Linked DNA regions of Arabidopsis thaliana. The protein of the gene in region 1 interacts with the protein of each later gene in a pairwise test. Each region holds a gene or a part of one and is shown on either strand. Other genes may lie near its edges. The genes, in order: C2 and PYL4.

The links.
Region 2: the proteins of C2 (region 1) and PYL4 interact in a protein complementation assay, tested with the Arabidopsis thaliana proteins (one study listed by BioGRID).

What each region holds. Positions count from the first base shown.
Region 1 is NC_003074.8:6,150,406-6,154,334, reverse strand, and holds C2 (Calcium-dependent lipid-binding (CaLB domain) family protein), read right to left. Parts: upstream 2,274-3,929; 5' UTR 2,064-2,273; intron 1,987-2,063; 5' UTR 1,919-1,986; coding exon 1,772-1,918; intron 1,688-1,771; coding exon 1,592-1,687; intron 1,511-1,591; coding exon 1,220-1,510; 3' UTR 521-1,219; downstream 1-520. Other genes in the region: TOC64-III (translocon at the outer membrane of chloroplasts 64-III), read right to left, coding at 2,541-2,620, 2,696-2,765, 2,867-2,918, 3,005-3,132, 3,234-3,434, 3,578-3,712, 3,817-3,929. UniProt on the Arabidopsis thaliana protein: Mediates the transient calcium-dependent interaction of PYR/PYL/RCAR abscisic acid (ABA) receptors with the plasma membrane and thus regulates ABA sensitivity. Stimulates the GTPase/ATPase activities of YchF1, and regulates its subcellular localization.
Region 2 is NC_003071.7:16,047,800-16,051,728, forward strand, and holds PYL4 (PYR1-like 4), read left to right. Parts: upstream 1-2,118; 5' UTR 2,119-2,451; coding exon 2,452-3,075; 3' UTR 3,076-3,557; downstream 3,558-3,929. UniProt on the Arabidopsis thaliana protein: Receptor for abscisic acid (ABA) required for ABA-mediated responses such as stomatal closure and germination inhibition. Inhibits the activity of group-A protein phosphatases type 2C (PP2Cs) when activated by ABA. Can be activated by both (-)-ABA and (+)-ABA.

The DNA.
Region 1 (3,929 bases):
TTTTATAGGTGGAAAACGGTGGCGTTACCTTCGACTTCGGCCTTTTTTACAGACTGTAAAATCAAATCAGTCGGTAATTAAACAAATATCTCCATTTTTTTTGTTTTGGTCAAAACCGGTAATAATAATAAGCGTATTTTAGTTAATGTTGTGCTGTCACTCATTTTAAGTTATGGTTTATATATATTTTTAACTACATTTGCAATTGCATTTATATGCAATATATATGTTGACAGATTTTATTCTACAAATAAATCGTTGTTTTGGTAAAAAAATGTTGACTACTTTGGGGAGTTGGTGGAAGAGGAATCTCTAGATCGCTCATTGGGGAACGAGATTTGGGTCCCTTGGGATCTATCAAACTTTATACATAATTTAGAATATATCTCAATACTATCATACTACAGTCGAATCTTTTACTTTATTAAATAGAGAAAAATATCACATACTAGTACTACACTTCACTCTTGTCACGGTCGTTTGACACATTATTGTAAAGTCGCCGTGCCACTCATAGTAAAGGACAATTATGGCTCACGTGTTTTGTCGTTATAAAACCATGGTGCTTCACTCATTAGTGTACATCTGGATTCTCTTCACCTACCATCCCTTTTGTGGCTTCTGGCTTTTTCCCTTCGATATTTTATTCTTTCTTCATCATTATTCTTTATGACCTTAATTAGCGCTAATGTACAAGTAAATCTTGTTCACAAAAATTACATAAGTTGTGCTTCAGTAACGTACACATAAAACCTCCAATGTCAATGGTTTAAAAAAGGCCTATCGATGTCGATGGTAAATGGTAATATGCTGGTCTTTTTTTCACTTTTTACCTATAAACATTAGTACATCACATGTGTTAAAACAATCTACCATTCATAAGTATATGGAACGATAATTAAATAAATAAAATATCTGTATTAGTTGTTCGTGTAAATGCCTTATTTAAGGCATAGCTAGCCCAAATATACATACACATCAACAATACACCACATTTACATATCCACCACCACGACTCGACTTGGACTCGATCACCATATGGGAACAAAACTTCCCTCAACGTTCTTAATCCTTATATTTCCATGGATTAATACGTGTTTCTAGTTCACTATATCCTTCAAGATTGAAATTACTTGTTTTTTTCCATGCTGTTACTTGGTTTAGTTCAATTTGAAAGAAAACAACTCAAAGTAACGGTAAATAAGAAAAGAAAAAAGATTCATAGACCCTTGGAGCCAGGGAGGTCAATCCATTGAAGCTGAGCCTCGACCTCTCCGCATTCCACATGTCGCAATCTGAGAACGAGATCCTGGACGAGCTTGCCGTCGACCCAGGTGACACGTGACTCCTCGGCTAGACAGTTACGACGACTTGGCTTAACCGTGGTCACAATGGTTCCACTAGGAAGTCCATCGAGTTGCATCCTCAAAGCCTCAATATAGGGCTTTATCTCGAACTCAGCATCGCCCATCTTGTCGTCTTTGCTAAACATGTCGTGATCATACACCGTCTACATATAACATTATAGTTTTATCAATATAAACATCTTATGATAAGGAAATTAATGTATGTTTTAGTAAGTAAAAAGTACCAAGAGGACGGTAAGATTGGAGTCTGTGACGGAGAGAGTCAAATCTTCATTCCATTCTGGATTAACATCTTTGTTAATGACACGAGTCTTCAATTTCTGTAAGATTTAATATGATAATTTGAGAATGTTTTTGATGTAATGAAATTGCATGTGAAGTTGTAAAATGATGAATGGATTAACCTGTTTGCCCATCTTGACGACGACGTAAGGATCGCTGCTACTGATGTCACGGACGGCTAAATTGACGCCACGTTTGATACGGATTCTAAGGAGGCCCAAGAGATCGTCCATTAGTGAGCTTGTCCTCGCCGGACACGCCGTTGTCATTTCCTTTATTAATGTTCCTGATTATTTCTTCCTTACTCACTTTCTACAACCCTTTTTTTTTGTTAACGCTGCAACCAACACACGTTTAATTCTCGGGGAAAAGCACAACCGAGATAAAGAAAAAAGGTTAAACGAACCAACTCACCCGTGAAGATAATTCAAAGGTCTCTTTAGTTTCTTTCGTCAGATTTCGTTCCGTTCAAACTATCATCGCTAAATATTAGGGCAGGTCTCTTTGGTTTCTACTCCTCTTTTTTTCTGTTTATTTTTTTTGAGTCGTGGGGAGGAGATAACGTGCGAGAAAAGAAAATGATAAAGACAAGATAGTTAAAGACATGACCTTATTTTTGACGCTACGCTGACTAGAAGTCGACCGGGAATGCCGGTATCCGGTGTTTAAGATTAACATTACTTTTTGATATCCAATTTTAGAGAACGTTTAAAATAAACATCGGATATTATAATTTTCCATTCTCGGCGGACTTGCAAAAGGTATCTCTAGATAAAATGCCTAAATATCAGACGCAAAAGACAAGTGTTGACAAAATTGGCCTATACTCTTGGACAAATTCTAAGGAACAAACGTTTTCTCAATGATCGGTGAGGTACGGACAAAAGAAGCTCACTGGAATTTTCTCAGTCTCTCTGCTGAGAGAGACGCTCGTTTGTTGTTTGGTTCCAGCACAAGTGCGTATCTGAAATCTGCAGAGTTTATGTTATATTCTGCCAGATTCTACAAGGCGAAAAAACAATCAGATTATGTTCTTTAAAGCTTACCTTCTATGGCTCCCTTGCAATCGCCTAACATTTCTCTTGCGGTTCCTCTTCGTAAATAGGCTTTAACATTCTGAAAGAAATCAAAAACGATCTTTGTGTTGTGTGTTCTTACAAAGTAAAGAGTGTTTTTTTTTCAAGAGAAACCTGTTTCTGTGTTTTAATGAAAGTTACCTTCTTGTCGAGGGTGATGGCTTTGGTACAGTCTTCTTCGGCTTGAAGAAAGCTGTATGTAAATGATTTGTCAAGGCAATGCCACATAGAAAGATTTGCTCACTAAAAAGTATTTTTAAGGATCTGAGAAACATTTACCCTCCAAGTTCAAGATATGCAGCAGCTCTGTTACTGTAATAGGTAGCATTGTTGTCACTTAGCTTTATAGCTTCTGAGTATAGACCAATAGCTTTCTGCCATAGTTTCTCTTTGAACGCTTGGTTACCCTGGTTTACATAATCACGGGACACAAAGATATAATAACCACATTAGATTATGGATGATAATGCCATTAAGAAAATGAGACATGCAATGGATATTAATTGACCTTCTCTTTGGCAATCTCGGCTGACTCTTCTTTGGTGATAGCCTTTTTAGAAGATTTGGGATCGGTAACAATACTCGAGTACTCTTGCAAAGATGGATACATTGTCTGCACTGTATCTAGTAAAAAGCGGTCACCACCGTGTCTTCCTATGAAAGAAACTGAAATAGGGCATTTCTCATGATGTCCGAGTGGCACAGTCACCTGAATCATCAGCACGATAAATGTAAGACACATATACTGTGGATTGGTTTTGCTAACACTGACTGGTCAGTGGTTGCTTTTAACATGTGTGAGGGGAACTTTACTAGCATGGCAGGTGAGAGAGAGAAAGAGAGAGATTTAACCTGACAACATCCTGATATGCTAGCAATGCTAAGCAGACTTGAAGCTCGGTTTTGATAGTCTTCAGATGTTATCTCCTTGCTACCAAGTTTTGGAGGAACAGCTGGCAATGTTGGAATTACCAGAATGCCATCATCCTTGATACATAACGTTACAGAGTTGGGAACCATTAGAGATTAGTCAAGAGACATATAAACTAACTCGCTCAAGTTGTGGACATGTCATGGAAGAGCAGGAATACCTTGAGAAGTGAACCAATAGCCACTCGAGTCTCGTTTCTGATAGCATTCAGGTTCTCAGTCTCTTCATTGGTTAGTTCTGGGTTCTCACACACTTGTGATAAAATCACAGGAT
Region 2 (3,929 bases), on another chromosome or scaffold:
CCAATAAAACTTCGTTGCAGAATTAAATGGAGATTATGAGTTCATGAGATTAAACTATAGGCTTAAGTTCATATTTTCCAGTTAGTAAATAAAATTCTGCTAGCCAAACAAAAAAAGTTGTTCCCTACCAAAAAAAACAAAAAAAGTTGTTGAGGAGAGGAAATTGTAAGCTTTGATGAAGTAGAAAAAAGAAGAACTTTGTCATTCCCCCCACGTGTAAAGAGACTTGCCATCGATCCTTCACAAGCTTCTCGTCACCACTCCTTTCTTCTTTACACTTAATTTCCATCTTCCTTCTGCTTCTACACGTCCACATGCAATTTTGCACCGAGAATCCTAATTTGTGTCCTTCATTTTAAAGGTTTAAAAAGCATGTTTATAAAAACATGGAACTGGATGGTTTGTGAGATATGCCATCAAATTAGACAAAAGGGTCCATTAAGCCTGTGAAAAAAAAAGAAAAAAAAAACTAAGAGACGATCATAAGAGTTAGGTGTGACCTGACAAGATTCTTGTACACCCGAACCCGACTTGTGAACTGTGAAGTCAACCTCTAATTAACAGTTATTTTTTATTCCTACAAATACGGATCCAACATTATTCTCAATTAGTTGAAGTAATGTCTGTCTATTTGCACATTTTCAAACCCATAATCAAACAAAAGTTACATATCCTGACCCGCTGACCATATTATACACTCATCTGTGTATATCTCAAATCTCACTTGCAGGTAATTCTCTCTAGTACTTTTATGTAGATATATAGATATTAGTAGAATGTTAGCAAGAAAAGATGTAAAACATATATATCAACTATATTAGAACCCGTCCTTTGTGCGAGTTTTTGATTTTTATGATAATTTTAAGTTAACAAAAACTGAATTAATTTTGCTTTATATATTAAGATGTGTGTGAAGCTCAATACACAATATTAATCTATTCTTATCAAAAAAATTTATATTCAAAATTTACAGCAATTATAAAGAACTAATAGCATTGTATTATGACTTATCATTAAGATGGGGTTTGTGTCCATGTCCGGAGTTGTTAAAGGTTTGAAAACCCAGAGTTATGAATGTAAAGAAACAAGACAGAATGCTTGAAAACAGAGCATCAAGTAAATGTTTTGTGTTTATATTATTATGCAGCTAAAATGGAACCGGTGACGGCATTCCAACTTGGCCAATGGATGTCTAGACTCGCTATATTCTTCAAGGCAGACGACACATTCTTCCCCAACCTCGAAATTGAATTCCTCGACGGCAACAAAAATATATCTTCGAACGTTTTGTTGTGTCTGATCAGCCAACTCCACATCTTTAGGTAAACTCTAATATCCTAGAGAATAATAGAAATCTATAATACTAGTTACAATGTAGAAGAAGAGACAACCTATAACGAAGCTAGATACTATAGCCAACGTAACCAAACCAAACAACAAAAGTATGTTGTGATAGACCAGTTTTTCTTTCCAAAATACGGCCCAATTAAAAGTTTGGTTCTAAAAACAATTTGGGCCTTAGTTTGTATAGTTTAAAATGTGTTTCTTAGTGAGGATTGGTTTTTCATGCCCTTTTGTTTGTGTGCTCCTTTTTTTGTATATTGAAGATCATATCAAAGCAAAAGCAATACAATACTTTTCATTCAAAAAGTTCCTCCTTCTGCTTGTTCATCAAATCTCTCAGGTAATTAAATATATGGTTGTACCACTTTTAGTTTTGTGGTATTCGGCTCTGATGTTGAATACTTCAAATATCTAGATTTGCATCTGATGCAATTGAAAACCTTTTTTTTTTTTGCAATTGAAAACTCATATATATAGTATGGCTAGATATATGCAATTGAAAACTCATATATCTAGCCATACTATGAAATAACAATTGAAGAACTTCTAAGTTGAAAGAATTCTCACTTTGTATGTTTTGATGAATTTGATCTTACATTCCAATCGTTCCAAATATCGAAACTCTTAAAGCGTATTCAATCAAACGAATCTCGTCCTAGATATACCTTGGTCATTTCAAGAAGAAGAGAAAAAAGTTATGGTCAAGAAACTAAAAGTCTAAACCCATATTATAATTCTAGTGTTGATATACGAGAATTATATATTGGTCACTTGCCCAATTAAAAATATCGTGTATAGAAAACAGTCAAGTCAACAACTATAGCAAGGGGCAAAACCGTAATTTCACAACAAGCAACTTGCTCGGTTTTTTCGTTATCACCACTCACATGAACTCTGCATTAAAAACTCTATCTCTCTCAAATCGAAAGGCACAGCCCAACTTTTCGCAAGTCGCTGTAAAGTTTGATTTGCTTCTTTTTATATACACACATACTTCTCCTCCATACACTTTCCTCTTCAATCCTCAGTTTTTTTTCTAAGCCCTAATACCATCTCAAAGAAGAGATCAAGATTTGAAATCAAGAAGACACCATTACTCAGATCAACATGCTTGCCGTTCACCGTCCTTCTTCCGCCGTATCAGACGGAGATTCCGTTCAGATTCCGATGATGATCGCGTCGTTTCAAAAACGTTTTCCTTCTCTCTCACGCGACTCCACGGCCGCTCGTTTTCACACACACGAGGTTGGTCCTAATCAGTGTTGCTCCGCCGTTATTCAAGAGATCTCCGCTCCAATCTCCACCGTTTGGTCCGTCGTACGCCGCTTTGATAACCCACAAGCTTACAAACACTTTCTCAAAAGCTGTAGCGTCATCGGCGGAGACGGCGATAACGTTGGTAGCCTCCGTCAAGTCCACGTCGTCTCTGGTCTCCCCGCCGCTAGCTCCACCGAGAGACTCGATATCCTCGACGACGAACGCCACGTCATCAGCTTCAGCGTTGTTGGTGGTGACCACCGGCTCTCTAACTACCGATCCGTAACGACCCTTCACCCTTCTCCGATCTCCGGGACCGTCGTTGTCGAGTCTTACGTCGTTGATGTTCCTCCAGGCAACACAAAGGAAGAGACTTGTGACTTCGTTGACGTTATCGTACGATGCAATCTTCAATCTCTTGCGAAAATAGCCGAGAATACTGCGGCTGAGAGCAAGAAGAAGATGTCTCTGTGATGAGTCTTTGTCGTTGTCGGGTAGTTTCGTTAGATCCGACGTCGTTTTCTAGATTTTTAGCCGTCGTGTGATCTATGTTTTTTCGGCTTATGTGTGAAAAAAAAGTTACATTAGTGAATTAATCTCTCATGCATATCATAATCCTTCTTTTAATTTTTGTATTTTACATATCCCATAAAGAACCGATTTGGATAGCCCTATTCCGGCTTTCACCACCCAAAGATAATAATATTCAAACTGAAAGAATGTGGTTGTGTTGTCCGCTAATTAAAAGTGTGATTTTCAAGTTTAATTAATCTTGTTTTTCTATAGTTTCATCAGAAAAAGCGTAAATGAAATGGTACAATATGATGTTCGACTCGGATGTATATTAACTCGTTACATTGAGTTGTTGGCCATCTAATGTGTGTAGATAAATTTACGTACGTATAAACAGCTTTTGTGAAATTCGACGATTTTTCTTAAAGGCAACTTTAAATTTGGGCATAATATAATGTGTTCCTTTCCTCTATGATTTAACTAGGTCCTCAAACTTTTTACTTTCTTATTATTTCATAATAATTAAAATAACCGATTGAGCGTGAAGTTGTTATTTAAAAATCAAACATTTGATAGAGAATTCAAGATTTGAAGTTTTTATTTGTCATCATAAACTATTTGGTAGAAAATAGGGAGTAGTTGGGGATTTTCAGGCTTAAAGGTAATTGCGTAAAATGGACAAAACATACATGTATACAAAAATATGAACATGGCCGTCAAAATATAAAAAATAAAAAACGAACATGTTGATGAATTTAAAGAAATAAAAATTTGCAAGTGGACGATGCTTTGAATGATAACCCAACAAGCCAAGC